Linked DNA regions of Oryctolagus cuniculus. The protein of the gene in region 4 interacts with the protein of the main gene of each other region in a biochemical or structural test. Links are inferred from orthologs where the notes say so. Each region holds a gene or a part of one and is shown on either strand. Other genes may lie near its edges. The genes, in order: PTEN, SGK1, RNF11, NEDD4, RAP2A, NTRK1 and MLANA.

Region 1 (3,500 bases), on a different chromosome or scaffold from region 4:
TCCTCATCTGTCCATATTTTATGGGAGTAGAGCCAATGTTTAAAGATAAAAATTTAGACCACACCAGTTCTGTGCTGAAAAATATTTCGATATTTTCACACATGGACTGGTTTTCCTGTCTACTCTCCTTTAGCCACTGACTTTTCATTTCTCAAATAAACTAAGCTACTCCTATCTCAAGGTTTTTGCATCTTCTCTTCTCTCTTTTCCCTGATACCGGTATATCTCATTCATCTGAATTAGGGCTTCCACTTAAATGTCAACAGTTTGGTGAGATCTTCTCTAATCAGGCTAGCCAAAACAAATAAAACCAATAAAAGTACTCTCTATCTCATCTCTATTTTTCACAGCATTTACCATGATATATATGACAATACACTGGTTTACTAAAAATAGTTTTTGTAATCACAAATATAAAACCTCTTGAGGTATTAAAACAGAAAACTACAAAACCAAAGCAAAAAAGACATTTTAAAAGTTAATGGGGGCCGACACCGCAGCTCACTAGGCTAAACCTCCGCCTTGCGGCGCCAGCACACCGGGTTCTAGTCCCGGTCGGGATGCCGGATTCTATCCCGGTTGCCCCTCTTCCAGGCCAGCTCTCTGCTGTGGCCCGGGAGTACAGTGGAGGATGGCCCAAGTACTTGGGCCCTGCACTCCATGGGAGACCAGGATAAGTACCTGGCTCCTGCCATCGGCAGCGCGGTGCGCTGGCCGCGGCGGCCATTGGAGGGTGAACCAACGGCAAAAGGAAGACCTTTCCCTCTCTCTCTCTCTCTCACTGTCCACTCTGCCTGTAAAAAAAAAATAAATAAATAAAATAAAAATAGCCAAAGGAAAGAAAAAAATGGTGAACTATTATTTGGGAATGTTTACAAGTCAGATTTTTTAATCTGAAGAATTCACACCTATAAATAGAAGTACACACACTCAAAGACACACATACATCACATACAGACAAAAATGAAACAAATCAATTAATTCTAACACATAATATGAGGAACCAGAGAGGAATCTGAGAAAGAAGTAGCAGGGGAGGACAATGAGAGAAGGCCTATATGAAGGTAAGGGAAAAGACTAGGGTGGAAAGGTACAGGAAGAAGGAAAAGAACTGGTAAGACCAGAGGCAGAAACAGTATTTGCAAGAACTGAAGCCACACCACTATGACTAAATCCCAGAGAGCATAAAAGAATATGGATAGAGGTAACAAAGGAGGCAGAACCACACTAAATTATGCAAGTACCTAGTACGTCTTTTAAAAGTGTAAAAAAGAGTGAAAGAAGCAAGCCTATTTGTGAGCAGCAGTGAACAAATTCCCCCATTTCTACTTCATAACCCATTCACTTAACTCCCCTCTCACACCTCTGTCCCAGATTTCATCAAACAACAGGAGAAGGAAACACGCAGCTCCTTTGACTCTTTCTGTATCCTGATATTTCATTAGAAACATTCAGGTTATTGTTTCATAAACATTGCTTCTAAACAATACATCATTTAATTTGAAAATCAGTCAGCCAAGTTCTTCATCTGCACACCTGGAATAAAACAGGCACGTATGCATGTAACCACTGACTCCACAAAGGGTTATTAACTGACCTTAAAATTTGGAGAAAAGTATCGGTTTGCCTTGTCTTTATTTGCTTTATCAAGATCATTTTTTGTTAAAGTAAGTACTAGATATTCTTTGTCGTTATCTGCACGTTCTATACTGCAAATACTATCAATTTCTTGATCACAAAGACTTCCATTTTCTACTTTTTCTGAGGTTTCCTCTGGTCCTGGTATAAAGAACGTATTTACCCAAAAGTGAAACATTTTGTCCTAAAAAAAAGGAAAGAAATGTCTAATTTTAAATTTTTGTTGGAGAAAAACATGTCACCTATATTCAATATCTGCCCCAAGAAGTCAACAAAATTATGCATCGTTTGATATTCTTCATAAAGGTAAACAAAAACACTACTACTATACGCCAACCTGCAGGTACCTGTTACATTGATTCATTTGTGTTTCTTTTACTCAAACTGTAGATAATAGCTAAGAACGACCTTAAAGTCTTATGTAAAATAACTTCTATCTACTCTAATACTAGCTTTAGAAATGTGTACAGTTACGTGTAGGCATAAACAAAAATCAGGTATGATTTAATTTTCTTTATGATTTAATCAGCTATCTAATCCAAGATTTATTTTAACAGAAGTTCCTGGAAATTAAGTGCAATTGTCTGATTAAACAGCAGATTTATTTCACAGTAATACAAACACAGTAACTTCAGTTTCTTACATGACAATGTATGCCTGAAAACCTTCAGAATAAAAGACGCCGGGGTGAGGGAATCTTTTGATCACTTTTTCTTCTAAAATGACTATTCTAAAAAAAATCACTTCTTGGAAATAATATGAAGGGACAGGCACTGTGGTGTAGCAAGTAAAGCCACCACCTGCAGTGCTGGCATCCCGTATGGGCGCTGGTTCAAGTCCCAGCTGCTCCACTTCCAATCCAGCTCTTTGCTATGGCCTGGGAAAGCAGTGGAAGATGGCCCAAGTCCTTGGGCCCCTGTACCCACATTGGAGGAGGAAGCTCCAGGGTCCTGGCTTTGGATGGGCCCAGCGTCAGCCATTGCAGCCATTTGGGGAGTGATGGAAGACCTATCTCTCTCTCTGCCTCTTCCTTTCAAATAAAGTAAATAAATCTTTTTTTGTCCTGGTTGCTCCTCTTCCAGGACAGCTCTCTGCTGTAGCCCGGGAGGGCAGTGGAGGATGGCCCAAGTGCTTGGGCCCCGCACCCGTATGGGAGACCAGGAGGGAGCACCTGTGTTCTGGCTTTGGATCGGTGCAACGTGCCTGCCGTAGCAGCCACTTGGGGGTGAACCAACGGAAGGAAGACCTTTCTCTCTCACTGTCTAACTCTGCCTGTCAAAAAAAAAAAAATTATTTTATTTATTTATTTATTTGAAAGGCAGAGTTGCAGAGTGAAAGGTCTTCTATCCACCAGTTCAGTCCCATATGGCCACAACTGCACAGATCCAAAGTCAGGAGCCAGGAGCTTCCTCTGGGTCTTCTTCGCAGGTGCAGGAGTCCAAGGACTTGGGCCATCTTCCACTGCTTTCCCAGGCCATGGCAGAGAGGTGAATCGGAAGTGGAGAAGCCAGGACTTGAACCAGAGCCCATATGAGATGCCAACACTGCAGGGGGCGGTTTTACCCGCTATGCCATGGTGCTGGCCCCCTTAGATCTGCTTTAAATGTTCACACTTAATATTTTAAACAAGATAGTCTATTTTACAATGAGCTCTTGAACTTTTCTAAAGAATATAAAGTACAAACTGCTCTTTCTAAATGCATATTAAAATAAACTCCATTTTTTCACTCCTTATTACTTCCTATTCATACTTATTTCTCTCTAATCAAAAAACTAAATCTTGGGGAACTAAACATACAATAACCCATTTCCAAGAAATATAAACCAAAATGGAGAAAAGGAGTCTGTGTCTCTACACAAAA
Region 2 (4,138 bases), on a different chromosome or scaffold from region 4:
TTCCTTCAGATTACTGCCCGACAAAACCGCTATCCTTTCTGAGGCTAACCGGCCACCTCTGGGTGCCTCTATTTAGGAAGCTACTGGGTAGCTAACAGTTATCATCCTTGGGGGTTTAGAAACCCTTTTATGATGTGGCTCCTACAGATAGGTCATTTCAATGACAGCAACAGGATGTCTTAGAATTTCTCACGCTGCATGCACCAAGCCATGAATGTAATTTGCTCTCACTGAGCTGTACTAAGCACATTTCTGAAGAGTTCAGGAAGTTAGAAGCACTGTGGCACTAGTCTCTCCTGGACGGACTGAGCAAGCGAGCGCCTACCTCGGGTGTGCCGCAGAAGGTGGACGTCGTGCCGTTGTGTTCAATGTTCTCCTTGCACAGCCCAAAGTCAGTCAGGACGATGTGTCCCTGTGAATCTAGTAGAATATTCTCCGGCTTCAAGTCTCTGTAAAAAATGAACAGAGGAGTAGTTGCTGATGTTAATTTCAGTTCATAACAAGTCCTCTGTGAAGCTAACTGCTAAGGGCATTAGGTATTTTAAATTCACTGCAGTTGTGCAGTGAATAAAAAAAGGGAGTCCTTGTTCTGCTGATCTAGTCTGGATTAGGGACAATCCCAGTTGGCCAGTTCCCTAGTGGCATGGAGTCAAGGCAGCTCACGTGCTGGGGGATCTGGTTTTAGGGGACCAGGTGCACGCACACACACTCTCTCACACAATCTTAAGGCTCCCTCAAGCAGGAGGGCTACCAGGGCTCTTTGGCTCACCTATAAACGATGTTCAGAGAGTGCAGGTAACCCAAGGCACTGGCTATCTCAGCAGCATAGAAACGAGCCCGTGGTTCCAGGAAGCAGCGCTCCCTCTGGAGATGGTAGAACAACTGCAGGAGACAGGACAAAGTTAGTCTGGGCTGCCAAAACACTTCACTAGTGACATATATAGCTAACGAAAACAATCGCAGGAAGTAGCCCTAGGTAATCTATTAACTATTTGAAGCCCGGCAACTTTTACCCCCTAAAGACCTTCGAAAACTTCCTTTTTAGACTAAAAAACCAAGCAGGCTGTGCAGAGACCGGCCCCTGCTCCCCACTCGCTCACCTCTCCACCGTTAATGTAGTCTAGGACAAAGTACAGCTTGTCGGCCGTCTGGAAGGAGAAGTGCAGGCCCACCAGGAAAGGGTGTTTCACGTTCTTCAGCAGCACGTTCCGCTCAGACATAATATGCTTCTCCTAGGAGGATGACAACCCAGACTGAGCGACAAACTTCAACTTGGCACCCACTCCCAAGGCAAAGCTGATTCAGTGAGCGTCCACTCACAGCTCCAACCCACCAGCCCCTTCTCCTACCTCCTTCTTTTTCAGGATTGCTTTTTTCTGCAACACCTTGACTGCATAGAAGGCTTCCTCTGCTTTGTGTCTCGCTAGTAGAACCTGAAATTGCAATAAGAAAAAAAAAAATCATCCTTTTTGGGTCCTCATCCAGGGAGAGTGTAAAATGAACACATACGAGAGTATATACAAAGGTCTCCGGATCTGAAATTACCTTTCCAAAACTGCCCTTTCCAATCACTTTTAGGAAGTGAAAGTCTGATGGTTTAGCATGAGGGTTTGATGATGGGCCAAGGTTGATTTGTTGAGATGGACTTGGCTGAAAAATAAAACATTCTCCTTTAGTGTCACCGCTTTCAAAGGCAGACGTCCACAATAAAGCATAAAAGCTGGATGCAAGTCCCATACGTCTATCAACGCACTCAAAACTATTTTTCAACCACACCATGTCATTATTTCAAGTGAGTATGGAGATTAAACGGATAAAACTTTTATGAAATATGCCTTCAGACAATACTCCACTGACTCAATACTTAACTAGTTATGTCACCTGTTATGTCCTTAACTAATGAGACATTCCTGCCTTCATACTAATTTCCAGAAATGCTATTTTAATCCATCAATGTAGGGATACTAGGTGACTCACTTAACAATTCTCCCCCATAGATGCTTCACAAACGGAACGATACTCACCGGAGGCGAAGGGTTGGCGTTCATAAGCTCGGGCTCCTGAGGTTGGGAGATTTTCAAAATGGACTGAACTTCAGTGCTGCAGAGGAAAAAAAAACACACACACGTTGGAGCCTCCTCGCGCCCCACTAGGGGGCACAGCAACACCACCAGTTGAGTTTCTGGCTCGAAGTTTCCCCGGAGAATCCAGGACTTCAACTGCAAACACCCAAAATCATCTACTGGGCCCTTTGAAGCCAACAGTGAGCCCAGCTGTGTACAGAAATTGAGGTGGTTTTTCACGCGGAGGGCGGGCGACAAGGAGGCAAGCCCGTCTCCGTGTTAAAAACGTCTCAAGTAAACCAGGATTTGAGGAGAAATGAGATCTCCACCCCGACGTAACCCAGCGAGGGGAGACGACTCTGCTACCCTGCCGGCGCTACTGACTTTAATTCCCGCAATCCCACCCGAACTTACTGCTTGCACGCATAGGAATTATTAGCGATCTTCTGAATAAAGTCGTTCAGGCCCATCCTCCTCTGCTTCATGAACGCTGTGAATGAAAGAGGAGAAATAAACGAATGCTCAGATGGCTTCGTAACGTCCGCCGCCACACACACTCCGTGATCCGCGACCTTCCGAAAACTCGCACCGCGCGGCGGCCTGACTCCTGCACTCACCGATGAGGATGGCCACCATGCCCCTCATCCTGGAGTAAGTGAGGGGGCCCCTAGCAGCCTCGGTTTTCACGGTCATCGCCACGGTGAGACCACAGCGAGTCGTTGGGAATGAGAGACCGGCTCAGCCAACTCTGCGCTCGGGCCGCGCGCCCGGCTTTATAAAGGCTGCGCCGGCAGGGGAGGGGCCCGACCGGCGACAAAGGAGCGGCGCGGCCCCGCCCCCCAGCGCAGGCCCCGCCCCCGGCCGCCGCGCCGCGTCCCGGCGGGACGGCAGCCCGCGGCGGGCGGTTCTGTCCCCAGCCTGAGGGCGAGCCGCGGGCGGAGGTGGGGGACTCGGGAGCCGCCCGGGGAGGGCAGTTTCGCCAGTGTTCGGCGCCCCGGGGCGCGGGCGGAGGTGGCGGGAAAGGATGCGGAGTAATTTTCCATTTTTCTCATTTATTCCGTTCGGCGAGGAAGTCAGGGTAGCAGCGCCGAGCTGCCTTCCGGACGCAGCCCGGCGGGCCGGCGGCCCTGCGCGAGCCCACACCCTCCCCCGCAGTTGCACTCTCTCGGCGATAGATAGCCCGGGACCCCCGCCCCGGCGCCCCCCGGTTTCCTCCCCGCCGAGGCCGGGCGGAGCGTGCGACCGCCCGGGAGTTCTCTCAGGCGCAGGCGTCTCAGCGCGCCCTCATCTGCAGGGTCAGCGCGGGGCCGGAGCTCCCGGGCCGGTCCTCCCCGCTCCCGCCGCCCGGTCACGCCGCTCTCCGTCCACCCCCCACCCCTTCTCCCGAGCCCGAGAACCGGGCCGGAGCCATGCGCCCGCGCGCACCGGAGGAGCCAAGTCCCCGCGGGGGCCGAGGCGCGCTTACCCAGTCCGCTCAGCAGGAAAGACTCGCTCCTTTTCTGCGCCTCGGCCCTCTTTTTGTGGCGGGGCCGGAGCAAGGACTCGAGCCGGGCCCTGGCGAGCGCTCCCTGCATCTCCCCCATGGGCAGCGGGCGGCGGGCGAGAGCGACCGGAGAGCACTGACGTTTCCTTGAAGGAGCCGCCGTGACTCAGGCCGGGCAAGATTTCCTGCCCGGGTCCCAAAACAAACAAATGGCCCTTGTGCACGGCCGAGCCGCTTCCGAAAACGCCTTTTTTGTGCTTTTGGCCAAAACCAAGCAAGGCTGGAAAAAAAAAAATCCCAGAACTTGGAAGAGGAGGAAGGAAGGAAAGAAGGAGGGAAAAGGGGGGGGAGGGGAGTCAGGAATGTGTAGGGGAGGGGGCGGAAGCAAAATTCGGCTCTGCATTGAAGACAAAGTGCAATCTGCAGCCCCCCCCCACCCCTTTTGTAATTTCTAGAGAACATTCTGTCCGTTTTGCGTGCACTTTTTTTCCCCCTTGCATTTTAATCCGCGCCACGCCGAGAACACGTGAGGAGGCCGGTGAGGGCGGCGGCGGCGGCGGCGCGGACCTGGCGTGACCCGGGCGGCAGAGGG
Region 3 (4,082 bases), on a different chromosome or scaffold from region 4:
ATGAGCCAATGTTACCACAGTCCTTAATTACATACTGTCTCTTGAAAAAAGTCACTTTTATCAAATGAAAATATTATAAATCATTTACCTTGGATTGATGTTTTTTGAGATCACTTAAATTAACTGTTCCAAAAAATCTTTCTTTAGGTGGACAATTTTAAGTTTTTTGTTTCCATCTTTTAAAGTAATTATTTTCTTCCAAATGATACTAAATTTACATCAGTATATGGGTCATTCACTTCAGGAAAGGGCAACCACAAAAACATCCACTGTCAAAAATAACACATTTCCAAAAAAACGCTCATGATACCAAAAAGCTCTCATTACCATCTAGTCCTTTTGGAAAGGGCAAATATACTTCCCATAAATTCTAAAGTTATTTAACACTACAATTATCATCAGGATAGGAGAAAGATAGCAACAAGTCAAAAATAATTCAGTTTGCTTGGAAAGGGATTAGGGAGCACAGCAGATTTTGAAATAAAAAATTTGCCTAAAAATTGTTCATGAAACTAAAATAAGCAGATTTGTTGCATAGTCTATATGGGGGCAGGGGACAAAGAATGAAATATAAACTGTTTACTTGCTTCAAAGATACTTGGACCAACATTCAGATTCAGCTTGGATTTAAAGAGACTACCACCCCTGTGACAATTTACACACCCTAAGAGATACCAAGTGTGTAAATGGATATAACAGCAAACTGGAATCGCATAGTCCCTACCTTCATGCAATGTAAATTTAGGGAGGAGGGAACACCTCAGGGTGAGATATACATCCACCTACACAAAGATGTCACACTAAAGTGTTTATAGCTCTTGGTTCATTCCCTTGGATGCAGATGAGGGATGGGGAGGAAAGAGAGGAACTGCACAACTTCAGATCTGACAGCTGAGTCCTTAAAGTGGATTAGATGTCCACCTGGCCGACCTTGGGGGAAGGGCTCCAAGAAGAGAGCAACTGGAGCAAAGGCAGAGGTGTGAACAGCCAGTATTTGACAGTCTGGAATACAGAATGTAAGAGGTGTCATGAGGTTTTCTGTATGCCACAAGGAAGACTGGACTTTGCCACAAGGAAGACTGGACTTCGTTAGTATCCATGAAAGGCCCCCACAGGGTTTTAGTCAGAAAATTAGCATATGTATGTGATCAGGTTTTTCTGGTGTGATGAGACACTGGTTTACACAGGTAAGACAAAAGAAAACACTAGATAATGATGTCATCACATGAAACAACAAAGGCGACTGCCCAATTAGAAAGCTAAACTCCCTTCAGGAAAAAACATTAAGGACTACCATTCAAACCTTTCTGGAAAAAAAAGTTTTTACTCAGTATCATTTAAACCTAGGAAAACAGAGGAAAAGTTTTTGTATGTATTATGAATTATAACATGTGTGTATCTATTGAGTTTTCCAGAGCTCCTAACCTTCTCACTAATTCTGTAACACAACTGAGACTAATGGTTGTACAAAAAGCAATGAAGCCTATTTAGGAGTCTTTGATATAAGGAGGACCATATGTAACGCAAGGCAATTCCCAAGTCAGGTTTCAAGGTTTTCAAAGTTCAAGATAATCAAGTTTTATTAAGTCAGCACATTTAAAAGGTATGTCATAAGGGTGGAGCAAAGGCGGAGGGGGTAAAAATGTGTGTGTGTATAAACAAATTTATAATAGTCGCTGGGGCTAAAACTGCCACTTGGAGAGCCGGCTCTTAAGAAATGAACACCTACCAGATCCAATTAACAAAGACGGGGGGGGGGGGGGATCACATGAAAATATAAATGGAGTGGGTGGGGGCAGCCACTTCTCCCCGACCCATAATCCAGCTGGCGGTGCGATGAGAAAAATCATACGATGTAGGCATAAAGGCAGGAAAATAATGTCACTCCCAAACTTCACAAGCGAACCACCAGACACTGGCCAAGGGGCTACGATCCCATACCCCTCATCCCACAACTCAAGGGCAGGGAGTACCCTGCACGGCGCGCCCGAGGGAAGGGGAAGGAGCACCTCTATTCTCGGACTGGGAGAAGCCCTCAGCCAGCCCTACGGGGGTCAACGCCCCCTGGGCAGGCCTCCGCGGGGCCGGGGGCAGAGACGGCGGAGAAGCCCCTCCATCTCTGCCCGAGCTGCAAGTACTCGCACCCCTCCTCCCCAACACACACCCTCCCCTACCTGATATGGCGGCGGCGGCTCCTGATCCGGCTCCGTCCCCTCGCCAAAGCTAGCGCGGTCGGACTGAGACTCGTGAAGCAGAGAGATGTCATCCGAGGTGGGGGACTTGAGGCAGTTCCCCATCTTCCGGGGCGGGTGTGTGCGAGCTGGGGTAGGAAGAAAGCAGTGGCGGGGTCGTTCGCACGCTCCGCGGTCAGCCTCGGTCGGCGAGGTGGGGTCGAGCGACGGGCCGGAGCTCAGGCGGCGGCGGCTCCCCCGCCCCCCGGCGCCGCCGAGGGGCAGCTCATGCCAGCCCCCGGGGGTGGGGGCTCAGGGCTGGGCCGCGGGCTCGGCTGGGGTCGAGACGGTTGCCTCCGGCGAAGCCGCGACGCGGGGGGGGCGGGGAGACGAAGCACTTCCCCACCCCGCCCCCCCGCGGGGCGGCGGCGGCCACGGGGCTGCTGGGCTTAATCCAGGTCAGGAGCGGGGGGCGCGGCCGTCGCGGCTGCCTCAGCTGCTGCCTCAGCTGCTGCTGCTGCCCCCGCCGGCAACCGCGCCGCGGCCGCGGGCCTCATCCTAGTCCGCCTCAGCGCGGCGGCGGCGGCCAGAACGAGGCCGGCTGGGGCCCTGCGTCATCCCGCCGTGCGTGCCCTGGGCCCGCCCCCGGCGCCAGGAGGCGAAGGCGGCTCTCGCGGCGCGGCTGGCCCCGCCCTCCTCTAGCAGCTGTTCCTGGGGCTGCGTCAGTTTCTGCTTCTGTCCCTGACAGTTTGGCTCCTCGCCCGGCTCGCTCGGAAGCCTCTGGTTTCCCGCGCTTCCCTGCGGACACGGCTCCCGCGCCGTCGACGTCGCAGCTCTTACCTGTACACTCTTCTGACAGTGTTCTCACCACCCTCTGCTAAGGGATCTATTTATATACCCATATCTGAGTGGATGGATCATCGTACCGTTGTTAAAATGTTAAAGGGCTTCCCACTTTTCCCTTCGGAATAAAGTCCAATCTCAGTAATGAACCCTCCCGATCTCAATCACTTTCCTGTCCTGCATCACAGCCAGGGAGCTCCTTCTCCCATTTCTTTTCCCAGAGTGTTCCATTTCCTTACATTCCCAACCACCATGGTCATCTCTTGCCCAGGCTCCTGCAATAGACTCAGCTGTTCTTGTATTCATTATTGCCCCCCCCCATCCAATCCATTATTTGCACAGTTGACAGACTTATCTTTTTTAAATGTAAATAGAGTGAAGTCGTTCTCCTGTTTAAAACCTCCAAAGGGTTCCTAATATTGTCCTTAAAGCAATCTTTAAATAAATAACTTTCAAATCCGACTGCCTCTCCAAGCATAGTCCCATCCTTCAGAAACTGTAAATTCCAAGCTTTCCAAAGTACTTTAAAAATTTTATCTATTTGAAAGGCATAGTTAGAGAGAGAGAGAGAGAGGCAGAGAGAGAGAGAGAGAGATCTTCCATCTGCTGATTCACTCCCCAGATGGCCACAACAGCCTGGGCTGGGCCAGGCCAAAGCCAGGAGCCAGGAGCTTTTTCCAGGTCTCCCACGTGGGTACAGGGACCCAAGGACTTGGGGGCATCTTCTGCTGCCTGCCCAGGAGCGTTAGCAGGGAGCTGGATCACAGCAACCCAGACTCTAAGCGGCACCCATATGGGATGCCGACACTGAAGGCAGAGGCTTAACCTTCTACATCATGGCGCTGGTCCCCACAAGTACTTCTGGATACCTCAGGGACTGTTGCCTCTAGCTGGGGGTTTTGCCCATATTGTTTCTCTGGCAAAAACCTACTTCTCCCCGCTTCTGACCTTCTGCCTCTCACCGGGCTAATCATTATTCCCACTTGACTCCCAGGACTCAACTCCATTTCCCCTGGAAAGCCTCTCCTGAGTCCACTCTGGGTTTCACCTCCTCTCGGCTTTTAGACC
Region 4 (3,500 bases):
TTGCCAAGGACAAAGCATTAATTTTTAAAAATATTCATCACTGAGATCATTGTCTAGGAAAATAATGATGATAAAGATTCAAATTACAAAAGCATCCAATGGAGTGGGTCATTTACTGTGTCCTTTTAGTCCCTACTGGACCTGTTTTATGCAATAATCAGTGACAATTCATGTGCATGACAGACCCACAGGAAAAGGTAGACACTTAGCATCAATGCCAAAAACTAACTCCAGTCGGCCACTCCCTAAGGATTCAATCAACCATGGATTCAATACATTAAAAAAAAAACCTGATCAGTACTGAACATGTACGGACATTCCTCCTTTGCCCTTAATTGTCCCTTAACAATATATTATGACAATTATTTGCCTAGCATTTACACTGCACTAGGTATTATAAACAATCTAGAGATGATTTAGAGGATGTGCGTAGGTTACATCCAAATGTGCCAGTTATTAAAAGGCATTTGAACATTCATGGATTTCAGTATCCACAGGGCTCCCGGAATCAATCCTTTATCCCTGCCAAGGGTTGATTGCAATTAGAAGGTGCTAGAAGTATCCAGTGTGCACTTCAAATTCTATCAAAAACAAGTTCACAGACTGCAGGCACCTGTACAGTAGGCTTTGTCCAGGTTGTTGTCCTGGAATTGTGATCTACGTAGTATGATCGTCCTCTTTCGTCTTGTTTTTCTTCCCAACCTGGCGGTAGTCCAGATGAAGTAGGCAAAAGCTTAAGTGAAGAATAAAGAACAATGAAATATTCACAAAAATCCTTGAAAGAGTACCACATTCCTTCAGTGCTAGCTCTTTTAGAATGAAGCACATTTTATTTTCCATTACTACAATGGAAAATGCACAAATTATATATGTTTAATTTAGTAAAATAAAACATATTCTAAATCATCTTAGCATGTACAACATAAAGTGTATGCATTTCACTTGGGAAGAAAATAGCATAGATAATAACAGCACTAATAACTAATCTAATAACATCACTAATAAAGCATATGACTAATAAATAATAACATCACTAACAAAGCAGTAACCACCACATCCTAAATGCTTTAACATACCTCATGACATTCAAGCCCAACACAAAACTTCATGATAATTGCTAAAACTGGCCCATTCTGCTGAGGAGTACACTGAAGCTTAAAAAACGGACACAAGTTGCTAACGTATATTGCATATAATCAATGGAATAAATACGTCCATGCCAAGTCAAAAGCTACCCTTGTCTTGTTTCTATAAGGGTAAGGAAATGCTATGTGTTACAAAGGAGTAAAGAAAAGTATCATTATTTCCAGGTTTACTTAAAATAGTCCCAGGTTTGGCCTTCTTTTTGGTACTGATTTTTAAATATTTTTATTTATTTGAAAGAGGAAGGGAGGGGGGGACAGAGTAAGGGGTGTGTGGGGGGGTATTCTTCCCTTTGGGTTCACTCTCCAAGTATCTACAACAACAGGGGCTGGGCCAGGCTAAAGCCAGGAGCAAGGAACTTCACTTGGGTCTTCCGTGTGGGTGGCAGGGACTCAAGTACTTGAGCCTTCCAGAGCTTACATCTGTAGGAACCTGGAATCAACAACAGGGCTGGCATTCCAACCAAGCACTGCACGATGGGATGCAGGTGTCCAAAGTGGCATCCTAACCACTGCGCTGAATGCCCGCCCTCTTTTTGTCAGTTGGCTTGTCTCCCCTAAAGTGCCTGACACCGTGAAGACCACCACCGCCAGGCTCTTCGCTGGGGCCACTGCTTATGAGGCACACGGCAGCTGTCAGCACCTCACTGACAAACATGATGGAGTGTTAGATGGCACACCATGGAATTCCATGTTGCCCAGGTTCCCACACTTCTTTTAGCAGGCGACTAAATGGGATGCAGTAATATGGGAGGGGGGCTACCAGGGACTACCAAGACGTGCAATAACGTGGATGGATCTGAAAAACATCACGCTGCGTGAGGGGCCAGGCACCCGGGACAGCAGGCTCTGACTCCCTCTGTATGAAACGTCAACTACAGCTGCAGAGAACAGACGCGAGGGGTCTCTTGGGACTGAGAGAAGATGCAGGTACTGAAGCAAGGATGCGGGGTGAGGGGACAGCTTTTAAATTTCACATGTAGTGATGTATGTGTGACAGGATCAAGTTCCAAAACTCAAGAAATCTGTAAAACCAACCAGTGTAGTATGAGAAGGCGGCACGGGAATAGCTTTTACCATACATAAGAAATAAATTTGCCCTAACCGCTGCTGCTCACATGGTATACTTAAAAACTATTTCAAGGGGGCCAGTGTTGTGGCACAGTGAGTTAGCTGCCACCTGCAACACTGGCATCCCCCAAGGGAGCATGGATTCAAGTCCTGGCTATCCTCCCTCTGATCCAGCTTCCTGCTAACATGCCTGGGAAGGCAGCAGATGATGGCCCCAGTGCTTTGGCCCTGGCAACCCATGTGGGAGACCTGGATGGAGTTCCTGGCTCCTCCTGGCTTGCAGCCTGGCCTGACTCTGGTTGTTGTTGCCATTTGGGGAGTGAACCAGTGGATCGAAGATCTCCCTAACTCTCCCTCTGTCTCTACTGCTCTGTCTTTGAAACAAACAAAATACGAATCTCAAAAATGACCCCATTTCTTGGATGAGTGCCGGCCAATCAATGGGAAATGCAACATTTGTGCCGTATGGAGCACATTACAGGTGCAGTGGGAGAAACACCACAATCTCTGCCTGAGCAGCCTCTGGGCTAAGGGAGGAGGCCAGCCCAGTGACACTAAGTCACAGTAAGCTGCCGAGGGCGGTCTCCGGGAGGCACTGGCCCTCTTGGTGGTGGGCAGTGCTGACTGGGCCAGGACTGCACAGGCAGGAACATCCTCCTTCCTCAGCCTAGGACGTGGGTCCCTCTCTTACGGCATGGCTCTCATTTGGGGACAGGTGAGTGACTGAGTCCTTTGGAGACTTTGAGGTTCTATGTGGGAACTTTGACAAAAGCAGAAACAGAGCCCAATTTTCAAAATTACCAATGACTGGTGAAAAAAAGCAAGGAGGCTATTTGAAGGTGAGAGGCGCCAGTGTGCACTGATTGGAGGGAGGAGAGAATCCGTCCGTGGAAACAGCCTGTTGGTGAGAGGCTCAGATGGGACGAAGGCAGCAGGACGTTTCTGTGGGGAGTTAAGGAAGCAGGGCTGCTCTGGGAGACAGCGTCTGGGAGATGCTTCAAATGCTCAGGTCCCTGTCACCCAGGTGGAGACCCAGATGGAGTTTCATGCTCCTGGCTTCAGCCTGGCTCACTCCTGGCTGTTTTGGGCACTTGGGGAGTGAACCAGCAGATGGAAGCTCACTCCTCTCTTTCTCTCTCTGTAACTCTTTCAACTAAATAAACTAAAAAATTTAAAAAAAAAATTTTAACGAAAGAAGGGTGAGTTGAAAAGCCTGGAAGTTTTAATTTGATTTAAGAAAAAATAGGGATGATGTAAGTGAGAGGTAAACTCAGAGAAATGAGATGT
Region 5 (4,264 bases), on a different chromosome or scaffold from region 4:
ATAATAATAATAATAAAATAAAATACAAAAACCCAGCAATGTCGGGAAGGCAAGCTCTGTCCTGAACTTGACGGCACGCGTGGGAGGGCGTGTGTGTGACTAAGACCTACGGCCGCGTTTTAGAACAGCAGTAAAAGGGGGCGCGCGGGGACGACGGCGCTACTGCGGCACCGCAGTCGCCTCCTCAGGGCCGGCGACGTCTCCCGCCCTGACCGCCGAAGTCCCGGCTTTCCCTCTGCAGCCCGCGTCCCACAGCACTGCTCCACGCCGACCCCGGGACTCGTCGCTCCCGCCTACAATGCACTCGCTCCCCTGCCAGAGCAGGGCACAGCCACCGGCCCCGCCATCCCTGCCCCTCCCGAACCCCACCAGCCCCAGCCCGGTCTCCACACCCCAGCCCTCCGAGGCCCGCGAATCGCGAGCTCCGATTGGCTTACCCATGCCTCCGTCATTGCCCAGCTCACCTACCATTGGTCAGCAGGTCGTGCGCATAAGCCCTGGGTGGTGGGGAGGCGGAGCCTGCGAATACACGTTTTCCTGATTGGCTGAAGCGGAGGGCATCACGTGGCATGAGGCTGCTCCCTATTGGCAGTCAAGGCTACCATGCGGTCCAGAGACGCGATCTGATTGGCTACCATGAATCCCGGCTTCCTACTAGACGTCCCCTGCGGGCTGTTGCTATGAGGTGTCCCCTGCCCTTCCGCAGGCTGGCGGAGACTCCGCTCTCCACGTTTTCCCTGTGCCCGTGGGTGACAGGGCGTGGGAAGAGCTGGACCACAGTCGGGCACCGGGAGGGCGGGGCTCCGGCGCAATCACGGGGCGTGGCCGCGAGCCCGTTCCCGACAGGCCTCGTGTCATCGTGTTCACACCACCTCAGGCAGAGGCCTGGAGGCGCCACACCACCTCAGGCAGAGGCCTGGAGGCGCTCGTCCCCTTCCACAAAGCGCACAGACAGCGCAGTGTCAGGCAAAGGCCCTCGCGCCTCTTGGACCCCGCGCGTCTCCGCCTCTCGCTACACGAAGCCTGACCGTGGGCGCTTCGAGGCGACTCGGCGCCCGCATCAAGCCGGAGCGGCACGGTCGCGGCCCCCAGCCCTGCTGCGGGGCAGAGCCCGGCGGCGAGAGCCCCCGGGGCTGGTTTATCTCAGCGCGGGCCGACGTTCTGGCGTGGCGCAGAGCCTCTCGGGAGCGCGCGCGGCCGGTCGCCTAGGCGACGGCTGCAGGGGCGGGGCTGCGCCGCGGGCCCCGCCCCGAGCTTCCAGGCTCCGCCCCCGGCAGGGCCGCGGCGGGGACTCGGGCGCGCTCCCGCGCGGGGAAGCGGCGGCGGCGGCGGCGGCGGCGGGCGGGGAGCTGGGCGTGGAGGCGCGAGGGGCGGGGCGGGCGGCACTGCGGGCCCGCGGCTCGGGCGGCTCCGGCTCCGGCTCCGGCTCCCTGCTCGCCTCAGCGCCTGCCGTCGCCCGGCTCGGCCCATGCCCAGGGCCGCTGCCGCCTCAGCCGCCGCCGCGGCCGTGAGGTGCGGGCGGCCGCGGGAGGCGGCGGCCGGGTCCGGGGGCGCAGCGCGGCGGGCGTAGGTCTATGTCGCGGGCGGCGGCGGCGGCGGGGGGACGATGCGCGAGTACAAAGTGGTGGTGCTGGGCTCGGGCGGGGTGGGCAAGTCCGCCCTGACCGTGCAGTTCGTGACGGGCACCTTCATCGAGAAATACGACCCCACCATCGAGGACTTCTACCGCAAGGAGATCGAGGTGGACTCGTCGCCGTCGGTGCTGGAGATCCTGGACACGGCGGGCACCGAGCAGTTCGCGTCCATGCGGGACCTGTACATCAAGAACGGCCAGGGCTTCATCCTGGTCTACAGCCTGGTCAACCAGCAGAGCTTCCAGGACATCAAGCCCATGCGCGACCAGATCATCCGAGTGAAGCGGTGAGCGGGCCCGCGGGGGGCGCGCGCCCCGCTCCGCGCCCTCCTCCTCCTCCTCCTCCTCCTGACCCCGCGCGCGAGGGCTTTGTTCCACCCCGGAGACCCGGCGTCCGGCCGCCCCCGGCGCCGCGCTTTGTCTCCCACGGCGCGGGTGGGAACCCCGCAGCCAACAAAGTTGGAAGTCGTGCGGGGGGACGGCGGCGCCTGACAGCGGGGCACGCTCCCGCGCGGGCTGCGGGGCTGTCAGGTCGGAGGCGGGAGGCCCCTGTCCGCCGCGCTCTACTCGGGGTCGGTGGGAAACTTGGAGGACGGGGCGCGCGCGACGGCCCGGTGGGGTTGCGGGAGCCCTGGCCCGGAGCGGGACCCCGGCGCCACTCAGGTTTGGGAACGCGGGTTAAGTTTTTAAAAATCGGCCTGCTGTACCCGCTCAGAAACGGGGCGGCGGAGGCGGCCAGGTCTGCAGACAGCCAGGTATTAGCTAATTTAAAGGTAATGCAAATAAACTGCCCCAGAGCAGCTTGGTCCTGAAGCATGCATTTTTGAAACAGGAACGACAGCTTAAATGGTTCAAAAAAATTTTTTTTTCTCCTAGAATTGACTATATTTTCCCTGTAATTTCAGTGTCAGGAACGTAATATCTTAGTTCAAAGTTTTGGCAAAGTTTTCTAATTGCTATTTAATTACACATTACCCCTGTGTCTGTTCCTTATTAGTTAATGCTTGCTGGCCATTTTCGTGTCATTTTCTTTTGTTGCTGCCTTATTCTCCCTGTGAACCAACATTGAAAGACATTTGCTGAAAGGTGGTTCTAAGAGTGATGCAGACGCGATGAGTTGTAAGTCAGTTTGAGTCTACTAAAGAAGTCCTGTGTACTCAGAGGATGTTCAAAAATTCATTACAAGTGGTGGATTTTTAACACAACTTAGGAGATCACAGGGAAGACTCACTTCCCCTTGTCTCTTTACATAATTAACTTTAATAACTAATTTTATGTTCTTTCTTGCATTAAGTTCCAAAGTAGAATAAAGTGTGTATTTTTTAGTCTTTACTGCTGTTCCCAGGTCTGTAAATCTGACAGCTTTTTGCTTCTCCAGTCTCATTGTTTCAAAGTTATATATCTGGGATTAAGAGAGAAACTATTTTGGTTTCAAACTAAGTGTGTATCCGATATTTAAGGAGCTACTTTTTAAGTGGTTCAAATCCTTTAACATGACTTCTCCCCAGTACTACTCAATTAAACAGAAAACTATAGTAAAGTAGTCTCATACATTGTCACAGGTCAATTTTAGGCCAAATACTTAGATGAAATAATAATTAAGTAAGTGCTTCACCAGCCCCACCCTTCACATTTGAATATCTACACTGAGTATGCATCCATACACTGCTAAAGTCACGTACCCAGACTATCTTCTTGACACAACCTTGGGGGAAGGAACATGGCAAACTGTCATTGGATGGTAGGCTGCACATCATTTTGGAGTTTATTTAGTGCAGGTTACTTTTCTCAGTTTTTTTTTTTTTTTTTTTTTTTTTGGACAGGCAGAGTGGACAGTGAGAGAGAGAGACAGAGAGAAAGGTCTTCCTTTGCCATTGGTTCACCCTCCAACGGCCGCCACAGCTGGCGCACTGTGGCCGGCGCACCGCGCTGATCCAAAGGCAGGAGCCAGGTGCTTATCCTGGTCTCCCATGGGGTGCAAGGCCCAAGCACTTGGGCCATCCTCCACTGCACTCCCTGGCCACAGCAGAGAGCTGGCCTGGAAGAGGGGCAATTGGGACAGAATCTGGCACCCCGATCGGGACAAGAACCCCGTGTGCCGGCGCCGCAAGGCGGAGCATTAGCCTATTGAGCCGTGGTGCCGGCTTTTCTCAGTTTTAATAATGGGTTAACCTAGGCTTGGTCTACAGGAAGAACTTAACCTGTTACACTGTGACTCAAGGGGGAAAGGGAGACATCTATCTGCATAGTTGGTTAGCATTTTTCTCACTAGTGTCAGTTCTTGATGTAAAAAGACCATTGATCAGCAGGAGCTTTTCGTAAAGTTCTCCCTGGAATTCAGCTATCATATCCATGAGAGCCACTTGGGCCTTTCTTCTGTGTCCTCTTATCTGGCTTCCCCGTCTGTAGCATATTATTTACAAACAGAAGGAAGAAAGGACCTGTGTTTGCTATATGGATTACAATGAATATATATTAAAGCAGGTGTTATTGAACCCTTCCCACTTAGAAAGAATAGAACATGATTTTCAAATAAGTGAATTTTCTACTCTTTTGAAGACCAGATTTTAAATGAAGCAGTTGCAATAGGAGTCATTGTTCCCACCCCTTGGCCCACTGTCTGGCAGCTAG
Region 6 (4,180 bases), on a different chromosome or scaffold from region 4:
GTGCTCAACAATGGGGGTCATGCTGAAACACCTGCTTCCACAAGGGGCTGGGCTCAGCCCTGCCACTGCCCCACCCAGCACGGAGAGACCCTGTGTCCCTGCAAGCATGTGCCCCAATCACGCCTGCCCAGGGCCCACTCATACCACTACACACACACACACACACACACACACACACACACGTACACACTCCACCTTCTCCACCCCCTCAAAGCCTCTGGCCCCTTCCCACACTCAAGCATCAACCCCTTCCTCCCTCCACCCCTGCCCATTGGGCAGAGCAAGCAAGAAGCATAGAAGCTGTCAGGCATGGACCCCCGGACCCCTCCCTGCCCCAGGAGGGGCCCAGGCAGGAGGAGAAAGGGAATGAGAGAATGGAGTGGGAGTGAACTGGCTGGCTCACATGGCGAGAGAGGGATGGGAAGGGACGGCAGAAAAACAAAGAGAGCAAGACAGAAACAGAGAGAGTGAGAAAGAGAAGCTGATAGGGGGAGACTGGCAGAGAGAGAGAGGAGAAGGATAAGGAAAGGGAGACAGAGACAGAGAGATAAGGACAAAGAGGCAGAGAAGGCCAGATAGGAAGACAGCAAAGAAAGCAGAGCAAGCAGGCACCTGGGCTGGGGGCTGGCGGGAGCCCTGGGCTAGCTTCTGCACCCAGTGTGCCAGGGAGGTCCTGGGCACTCGGCTGTTCTGCAAGTTGCACGTCAGTGTGGCCCTCACATGGGCACCCGGGGCCCTGACTCACCGCCGCTTCTCAGAATGCTCCCACTCTACCTCTTACTTTTCCTAAGTAAGGACCAAATAAAGGAACCAAGACTAGCTTCTTCCTCCTCCCAGCCCCCCTTCCCAGCCTTGATCCCAAGAGGCCAGGCAAGAATCAGGTCCTCCGTGCCCTGAGGCTCAGGGAGCAACCTCTAGAGACCCGGAAGGAGGGCAGCTCCTGGTCCTCTCCACCCTACAGCACCTGACCGTAGGGTTTCAGGCTGCTGGGGCCCGGGGAGCTGGGAAGCAGCGGTGGCGGGCTGGGTGTGTGCAGGCTGTCAGGCAGCTTGCGCAAGGCTGCCTCAAGGCTGCCCCATTCGTTTGGATTCGTAATCAATCTGTCTATTGGAGTCCATTATCTCCTCGTTAGCTCTGAGGGTGAGGGAGGAGGGAGGGGGCTGCTGGTCCACCCAGGGGGACATCTCAGCTCACCCCCTGCATACCTCCTAGCCCCCGACCCTGGACTGTCCACCCTTCCCCCAGGCGTTTATTCTTCTTGGGGCTTGGAAGGGCACTGGGAGATGAGAGCAGTGACAGGGAACCGGGGTCCCACTGGGACGCCTGGGGCGATGACTGGACAGGCTTCAGGTCCCCTCCCAGCATGCAGAGACCTAGGCCCAGACCGAGACAAGGCCATCTCCTCTGCTCCTAGCCTCCCCAGGGCCATTAGAGAGAGCTATTGAGTACCTTCCCGTTAATTACCACGAGATGCCCGAGCAAGTCCGTGCCAATTATTACAGGCTGCTCAAGTAACTTCCAGACAGTGGTGGTAGACCCCGCCTCGGACACCTTCCAGCCCCTCCCTGCACAAGGCCAGGGTCCCTTGTCCACCTTCTCAGCCCCAGGCCACAGGAGCAGGATTTTTCTAGCAGCTCGTCCCTGCTGCCAGGAGTCCTGCTGGCAATGCTTGAGTATTTTCCAGCCACTGTTCTGTGATGCTTCAGTACCTCGGGGCCAGTTATTACAGCATACTCCCATAGGTTTCCCCAGCCGCTAGAAAGTAGCAGAGTATTTGGTGGCAAATGGCTGCAGGATATCAGAGTAGTGCAAAACGCTGCAGATGCCCCTGGGCTGCGGGCAGCAAGGGGAGCGGGTAGAGGGGGCTGGGCAGGGGGCTCTCAGCAAAGGCCTGACTGTGCCCCAAGTCGAGACAAGGATGGAAAGGGAGATGGTTGGAGGGGGGCGGCTGGAGAAGCCAGGAGGGGGTCCCATTCCCCACATCCAACCCAAGGCATCCTGGATTCAAGGGATGGTGGAAACCGGGAGAGGAGCCACTAGGTTCCGCCAATCCCAGCTCAATTCCCAGTCCCAGGGCAAGGGCCTGGAGAGCCCGGTCATGACAAGGGCGTGGGGGCTAGCATGCCCCCTAGAAAAAGGAAAAGATGGTAGGGGTGCCAAACTGAGAGGGTCTCCGCGACCAATCCCCCGCCTCCAATGGAGCAGAGCTCGGGCTCCTGGCTGAGCTCCAGAAAGTGCCTTAAGATAGCCGGGCTCTCTCAGACCTGGTCCACGGAAAATGCGCTCGCTCTCCCCGAACCTGGCGCCACAGCTGGCCTGAGCCCTAGGCGGCAGCCAGGTAGTGACGGCGGGGCTAGCAGGGGCGGCTGCGGCGAAGGACCGCCGAGACCCCGCCAAAAGACACGCAGGGCCAGCCTCCCGCCGCGCCTGACCCAGCAGGCAGGCGGTGAGTCCGCGCCCTCGGGGCTCGGTGACGCCCGCCCGTCCCCGCGCTCCCCCTCGCCCGCCGGACACTCACAGCTCTGTCAGGTTCTCGATGCCCGGCAGGTGGCGGAGCCTGTCCAGGGCTCCAGGACGGGTGCAGAGCAGCCCCGAGGGGCCGCGGGGGCAACAGACATCGGGGCAGAGCGCGGCACCCGCGGATGCCAGCATTAGCCACGCCAGCAAGGTGCCCGGCCCCGTCGCCTGGCTGTGCCAGCCAAGCTGCCAGCGCCGTCCGCCTCGCAGCATCGCGGCGGCGCTCGCCTTACCCCGGCCCGGCCGCCGTCTGTGAGCTCCCAGCTGCGGCTGCCGGGCCTCCCCGCACATGTGCGCGGGGCGGTGTTAAAGACCCAGCCGCCAGGAAAGGGCGGAGCCAGCGGCCCCCGCCCGGCCCCGCCCCGCCCCTTCTCTCCAACTCCCGCACCTCCGCCGCCTCGGCTTTCGGGAGCCCGCAGCGCCAGCCTTGTAGCTCAAGATTCCCCCAGGTCTGGGAGGGGCGGAGGGGCCGCCGCGGAAGGTCTCTGGCTGGCCGTGGGGGCACGGGGAAGTTGATACATTATTTTTCCCAGCCTCAAGCAGCTGCCTTTTGACATTTTGGGGGGAGGGGAGATGACTGAGCCGTCCAGGTCCGCGTAGACAGCCCCCAGCCTCGCGGTGTGCTCGTCTGTGGGAGTGACGTCATTTGGGGTAATTTGGGTGAAACGCTCTGAACCCTAGGAAGAAAAGGAAGAGGAGCCCCCAAAAAAGGACCAATTGCAAAACAGAAGGGACAGAGAAAGGGAAGGGGTCAGGGAGCCGAGGCCCTGCCGTCCAGCAAAGGCCACAGGGTGGCGCTAGAAGCCTGCGCGCTAAGGTGCAAGCCTGGGACCCAGGTTGGGTGGTTGGATGCGGGGGTGCGGTCTGCAGCCCTTTCTGCGCCATGCCACGGGTCCCAGCGTCAGCCCTCGGTGCCCGGCCGGGCAGGACCAGGCCGAGCAGAGCTGGCATCGATCGCCGCCTTGACAAGAGCATCGATTTCTGCGCCGAGAAATTAATAGGTCTTCTCTTAGCCCTTCGGCCGCGGGAGCCGCCCGAGGGTGGAGCTGGGGACCGGCCGGCCCTCGGAGGCCGCGCACCTGGAAAGTACCGGGATTCCCAGCACGCAGGGCTTCCTGCGGGCCTTGGTGGCCACAAGGGCCCGATCTCTCTGCCGAGGGGAGGGGCAAACAAGGGCCCCAGGGCGCGAGCTCAGGCAGCACCCCTGGTCTCCCGATTCCCCGGGGCTGGGGCACACAGGAACGTCTGAGCAGTCCGGGTCACCAGGAAGGTGACCAGACAGGCAGATCCCCGCGGGGTGATCGCGTTCCTCAAGGGGATCCTGGCCAGGACTGGGGTACGTGGCGAAAACCAAGGCTCGCGCCAAGGGACCCAGAAAGAATGGCCAGGGGGGCCTCCTGGCCGAGAAAGGCTCCAAGACACTGCCCACGTTCTGGCCAGGTTTCTAGGAGCTCGCTGCGCTAGCCAAGGCTGCCAGAAGTTAGCTCGCAGGTGTCAGAGCCCGAGTGGCCGCATCCAGAGCCGCCGCATCTCCGCGGAAGAGGCGAGCGGCGGGCGCGGGGTGGCGATGGCAGAGGCCCCACCACGGCCGCAGCGGGGTTGGGGAGCTCCGTTCTTTGCCTCTCTTCCCCTCCCCCCGCCGCGTTCTGGCCTTATTTCCCCA
Region 7 (4,138 bases), on a different chromosome or scaffold from region 4:
GCAGTAACTGAACAGAAGGCAACTGATGAGCCCTTGGACGTTTTAAACAATTACATGAGAGATAAGTAGAATTAAATGTAAAGGGTGTGTTGGGCCACCACACAGAAGCTGAAACAGTGCACCGTACACACAGCACATCTTTGCTCTTGGGACATTTTGCCAGAAGGCATCGGCCACCCCCAACCCCACTGACCACACAGCGTATTAGAGAATCCCCTGGGGTCCTCTGAGCAGGTACTCCCAGCATGATGTCCTCCTCAGCACCTCTGATGGGTTCCACATCTTATTTGTCCCTGCTTCTCACTTCCTATAAGATTGCTCACCAACTCTTTCCAAAGGGAGAGCAGGTTTACAGCAAGTTCTGAACAGAGCACAGACAAGATGTTCCAAAAGACAGTTCCTTGCTGTCCTGTTGGGGTTCACACTCAGAGGGCGGAGAGGACATGCAGAGTGTGCCCCTGCATCCTTGGTGTTCCCGTTACAGCAATTACATCTCCTGGGATTATCCTCAGGCCTAATTTTCCCACTGGATCATGTCTTGGACCAGTATACAACACTTAGCACTTAGAAATGCTTCATCATGCAAATGCTAATTTCTAATTAACTCGTAATATCAAACTGCTTTTTTTTTTTTTTTTTTTTTTTTCAGATAGAATTACGAACACCATCTTCATCCTGGCGTCAGTCTGCAGAGGGAGTCACTCTCATCTGCCCTTCATCCTCACTGGTTCTTTGGCAACACATTTCATGGTCTGCAAATCTCCTTTAGGAGCCTGAGCAGAATAGACAGGACAAAGCTTGAGTAAAGATTCGTCTGCATACAAGACAGCTATGTTCCAGGTTAAGAACCTACAACAAAGACCCAGAAGCCAAGAATGCAGACAAAGTGGGTAAGATCCAACTTTTTACCATTCTTGTCTTCTTGCTTGTTTGGCCTCTGAGGAGCCTGAGTGAGCCCCTGGGGCCTCCTCACCTTGTTTCCAGACCTTTTGCTGTCTGTGGAGACAGAACACTAAGGAGACTTGCTAGGTAGTCACGTGCTGGGGGAAGTCAGCTGTGTCAGCAAACAGCAAACTGAGAACCCCTCTGGGTCTGGGTTGAACTTACTCTTCAACTGTGATGTAGGAGTGGCCGTGCCCCTTCTTGGGGTAACCATAGATGAAGTGAGCCTCTTTTCTTGGCATCATGAAAGGTCAGGGCACAGGACACCTATCAGAAGGGGCACATGAGCATTATTTAGTGCATCCAAAACGTTCTTGCCGGCCATGTCATAGAGTCCCACCAATAACATTCTCACCAGGGGACAACCACACTCAGGTTTCTCTACAAAAGGATTTGCACCTGCTTCATTCCTTGCTAGCACAAGCTTCAGAAACAGCTTGGGTTTCTTACCTTTCCCACTAATGAAAAACTTGAAGAAGAAACTACGAATGGAAACACAGGACTTTCAAATTGAGTTATTATTTGGGGAAAAATATCCATTTACCTTCAGTTTGACTCTATACCATAAACTTGTAGAACAACAAGTGATACACTGTTTTTTATTCATTCTCTACCTTCTCTGACCCAGGGCAGTGGTTAACAAAATAAGAGGAGTTATTTCTCTCCAAAGTTATCATCTCATATTTATCTCAGAACAAGCAGAGGCCTATGATAGCATAATCTCTGTTTCCCAGAGCACCTTATGCTTGAATCTCACCATGGGTGTGTGAGCCAGGCAGCCAAGCACAGCATCTTTCAATCCCACTTTTCAACAAAGAAACCAGCCCCGGGCAGGTGCCTCGGCTTGTCCATGAGCATTTCACCCAAAATCAGCTCCAGAAGCCTAGGACCTGCTTATGCCTAACAATTTGTTTTCCCTCCCACTTTGATCAAGTTCTGCTCTTCTATAGTTCAAGTTTCGTAGCTATGATTTTTTAATTAACTATAATACATGCAGATGAACAAAACAAAAGCTCATGAACTGCAGTGGCTATGATGAACGTGTACTCATTAAAAGCCATCCATGGAAGCCCTATCACTCTGGTGGATTTCGAAGGTCTGAGCCCCATAGAGCTACATCACCCAACTTCAATTTCAAACCCCAGGGAGGAGTAGAAGAGCAGAGTGGGGATTTCACCAGGCAACTCCTTTCCACTGGGGGTGGAGGTGGGGGCATTTTTTTTACATGCAATTTGTCCTTCCTAGTTGTAAAAAAGAAAGTTGAACTCACTGATGCTCTCAAGTAAATTCTCCAAGAGTGAGCTCTATGCCCAAAATTACAGACAAGAAACTCAGTTATGCATTAAATTGTTTTCGTCCATCTATACCTTAAGCTCAGAGCCCTGGCAGATGATACAGAGACAGCAAATGCGCCTTGTTACACTCAAAGCAAGAGCAGCAGCCACGGGAGAGTATGCCGAACTCCAGCAGGAGTCTTCTCACCAGCTGCCTGCCACCCTGAATAATTGCTATGCTTCTTGGCAGTCCCAGAGGGCCCAGAGAGGGTTAGAAGTTGGAGGATGACAAACGTCGCAGGGGAATTCTGTTGACAATTGAGTATCAGAGAGGCCATGAGGAAGTGCGGCAGGGTCCACCAGAATCCCCCACCCCTGCTCTGGATCTACAGGACTACAATTCTGGTGAGAAGGCGACGCACACCCTTACCTTCCAGGATGAGCCAGTTCTCTTCTGCCAGCCGCCCGTGTCTGTGAAGACTGCTTCTCTGCCTCTTAATCTTCTTCACTTTTTCGTGGTCTCAAGTCCCGTGATAGTCATGGGTTTGGATTCCCGACAGAGTTGACTGTGATTGCTTAATTGGCATGAAAGAAACCGAATTAATTCCTCCCTTGGGGGGCAGGGGGGTGGGGAACAGCTCACTGTGGCTTCTGTTTACCATAATCCCAGAGCTTTATCCTAGGGAAGTCATTTATTTTAAATGCCGGTCGCTCCTGCACAGAGCTGCTGTATTAAATACAGAATGGCCAGCTAAATTTGAATTTCAGATAAACAATGAATGCATTTTTAGTATAACTATGTCCCGTGCAATATTTTTGTGCTAAAAATGCATGAGACACCCTTACATTAACATATTTATATATATTTGTTTCATTTGTCTGAAACCCAGAGTTAGCTGGGTGCTCAACATTCTTCCTCATCTTCTCCTCAAGGAGTAGAAGAACCCTGGGGCTCAGATACAGAGATTGCCTAGTCCTGCATTCTCATGACCACAAAGAGGCAACGGAAGATTCCTAAAACCTCGTAAACTTAGCTCCCTGAGTTCTTTGTGTTACCCACTAGGGACCGTGAGTTTTCACGCATTTGCAAGGGGCCAGTGAAATTTCCTTCTTGAAGGTTGAGTACAACCTACTTACAGTCTAACTGAAACCAGGGCTGGCTTTACTTAGCATTGTAAGCTACCCTGGGCATCAAAGGTGTACAGCCCAGAGGCACTGCAGTGAGGCACAGTGGTCACCCTTGCTTCACAGCTCACCCTAACCATTGTGGGCAAGCAAAGTAAAGCAAAAATCCACCAGAATTCAGGAGTATAAGTGAGAGTCCTCAACAACTGAGGACTTAGACTAAATGACCACAAAGATCTCCTTCCCCATAACATCCAAGGGCTCCATTCCTTTCAGATCCTGACTTTGATCAACCAACAGAAGTCATCAGTGGAAACAGGAGAAACAAAACAGAGAAAGAGGAGTTGGGTCTTATCAGGTGAAACTGAGAGAGTCTTCATGAAAAGGAGGGAAAATGTAAACTGAGATCTGAATGACAAGGAGTTGGCTATGAGGAGGTAGAGGAAGAACATTTCAAATATGGAAACAACCAGCGCAAGGCCTTGAGGCCAAACAATAGAGCGTGACGTGGTCAGGGTCCCCAGAACTGAGGATGGCCCAGAGATTCTGTGCAAAGGCTGGGAAGGACACAAGGCCCTGGTGTCATATCACATCCAGTGCAACTCCATCCCGAACATCAGGATTATGCCGGGTAACTCCCTGAAAGCCCTAGTGGTGAGTGCTGGTGTCCGCCGAAGGCTGTGGTTCCAAGTTGAGAAGCCCACAGTTTGCACTAAGCTGCCTTCTATACCTACCATGGCTCTGGACGATGTGAGCAAGACCACAGAGAGGGTGAGTGGAGCTGGCCTGCACCTCAG

Evidence for each region.
Region 1: of the proteins of NEDD4 (region 4) and PTEN, one has a biochemical effect on the other in vitro, tested with the Homo sapiens proteins (7 studies listed by BioGRID, with this or other methods). The link is inferred for Oryctolagus cuniculus from reciprocal best matches to the Homo sapiens genes NEDD4 and PTEN.
Region 2: the proteins of NEDD4 (region 4) and SGK1 form a complex in vitro, tested with the Homo sapiens proteins (3 studies listed by BioGRID, with this or other methods). The link is inferred for Oryctolagus cuniculus from reciprocal best matches to the Homo sapiens genes NEDD4 and SGK1.
Region 3: the proteins of NEDD4 (region 4) and RNF11 form a complex in vitro, tested with the Homo sapiens proteins (3 studies listed by BioGRID and IntAct, with this or other methods). The link is inferred for Oryctolagus cuniculus from reciprocal best matches to the Homo sapiens genes NEDD4 and RNF11.
Region 5: the proteins of NEDD4 (region 4) and RAP2A form a complex in vitro, tested with the Homo sapiens proteins (2 studies listed by BioGRID). The link is inferred for Oryctolagus cuniculus from reciprocal best matches to the Homo sapiens genes NEDD4 and RAP2A.
Region 6: of the proteins of NEDD4 (region 4) and NTRK1, one has a biochemical effect on the other in vitro, tested with the Homo sapiens proteins (3 studies listed by BioGRID, with this or other methods). The link is inferred for Oryctolagus cuniculus from reciprocal best matches to the Homo sapiens genes NEDD4 and NTRK1.
Region 7: the proteins of NEDD4 (region 4) and MLANA form a complex in vitro, tested with the Homo sapiens proteins (2 studies listed by BioGRID and IntAct, with this or other methods). The link is inferred for Oryctolagus cuniculus from reciprocal best matches to the Homo sapiens genes NEDD4 and MLANA.

Annotation. Positions count from the first base shown.
Region 1 is NC_091446.1:42,726,683-42,730,182, forward strand, and holds part of PTEN (phosphatidylinositol 3,4,5-trisphosphate 3-phosphatase and dual-specificity protein phosphatase PTEN), read right to left. Parts: intron 1,823-3,500; coding exon 1,598-1,822; intron 1-1,597. UniProt on the Homo sapiens protein: Dual-specificity protein phosphatase, dephosphorylating tyrosine-, serine- and threonine-phosphorylated proteins.
Region 2 is NC_091436.1:34,692,342-34,696,479, reverse strand, and holds the start of SGK1 (serine/threonine-protein kinase Sgk1), read right to left. Parts: upstream 2,801-4,138; 5' UTR 2,757-2,800; coding exon 2,681-2,756; intron 2,554-2,680; coding exon 2,478-2,553; intron 2,101-2,477; coding exon 2,025-2,100; intron 1,651-2,024; coding exon 1,546-1,650; intron 1,434-1,545; coding exon 1,350-1,433; intron 1,233-1,349; coding exon 1,101-1,232; intron 883-1,100; coding exon 770-882; intron 450-769; coding exon 326-449; intron 1-325. UniProt on the Homo sapiens protein: Serine/threonine-protein kinase which is involved in the regulation of a wide variety of ion channels, membrane transporters, cellular enzymes, transcription factors, neuronal excitability, cell growth, proliferation, survival, migration and apoptosis.
Region 3 is NC_091438.1:121,712,806-121,716,887, forward strand, and holds the start of RNF11 (RING finger protein 11), read right to left. Parts: upstream 2,801-4,082; 5' UTR 2,298-2,800; coding exon 2,175-2,297; intron 1-2,174. UniProt on the Homo sapiens protein: Essential component of a ubiquitin-editing protein complex, comprising also TNFAIP3, ITCH and TAX1BP1, that ensures the transient nature of inflammatory signaling pathways. Promotes the association of TNFAIP3 to RIPK1 after TNF stimulation.
Region 4 is NC_091443.1:78,551,332-78,554,831, forward strand, and holds part of NEDD4 (E3 ubiquitin-protein ligase NEDD4), read right to left. Parts: intron 734-3,500; coding exon 614-733; intron 1-613. UniProt on the Homo sapiens protein: E3 ubiquitin-protein ligase which accepts ubiquitin from an E2 ubiquitin-conjugating enzyme in the form of a thioester and then directly transfers the ubiquitin to targeted substrates. Specifically ubiquitinates 'Lys-63' in target proteins.
Region 5 is NC_091440.1:15,033,298-15,037,561, reverse strand, and holds the start of RAP2A (ras-related protein Rap-2a), read left to right. Parts: upstream 1-1,464; 5' UTR 1,465-1,606; coding exon 1,607-1,920; intron 1,921-4,264. UniProt on the Homo sapiens protein: Small GTP-binding protein which cycles between a GDP-bound inactive and a GTP-bound active form. In its active form interacts with and regulates several effectors including MAP4K4, MINK1 and TNIK.
Region 6 is NC_091438.1:41,947,953-41,952,132, forward strand, and holds the start of NTRK1 (high affinity nerve growth factor receptor), read right to left. Parts: upstream 2,801-4,180; 5' UTR 2,731-2,800; coding exon 2,519-2,730; intron 1-2,518. UniProt on the Homo sapiens protein: Receptor tyrosine kinase involved in the development and the maturation of the central and peripheral nervous systems through regulation of proliferation, differentiation and survival of sympathetic and nervous neurons.
Region 7 is NC_091432.1:168,567,970-168,572,107, reverse strand, and holds the start of MLANA (melanoma antigen recognized by T-cells 1), read right to left. Parts: upstream 2,801-4,138; 5' UTR 2,647-2,800; intron 1,210-2,646; 5' UTR 1,188-1,209; coding exon 1,108-1,187; intron 1-1,107. UniProt on the Homo sapiens protein: Involved in melanosome biogenesis by ensuring the stability of GPR143. Plays a vital role in the expression, stability, trafficking, and processing of melanocyte protein PMEL, which is critical to the formation of stage II melanosomes.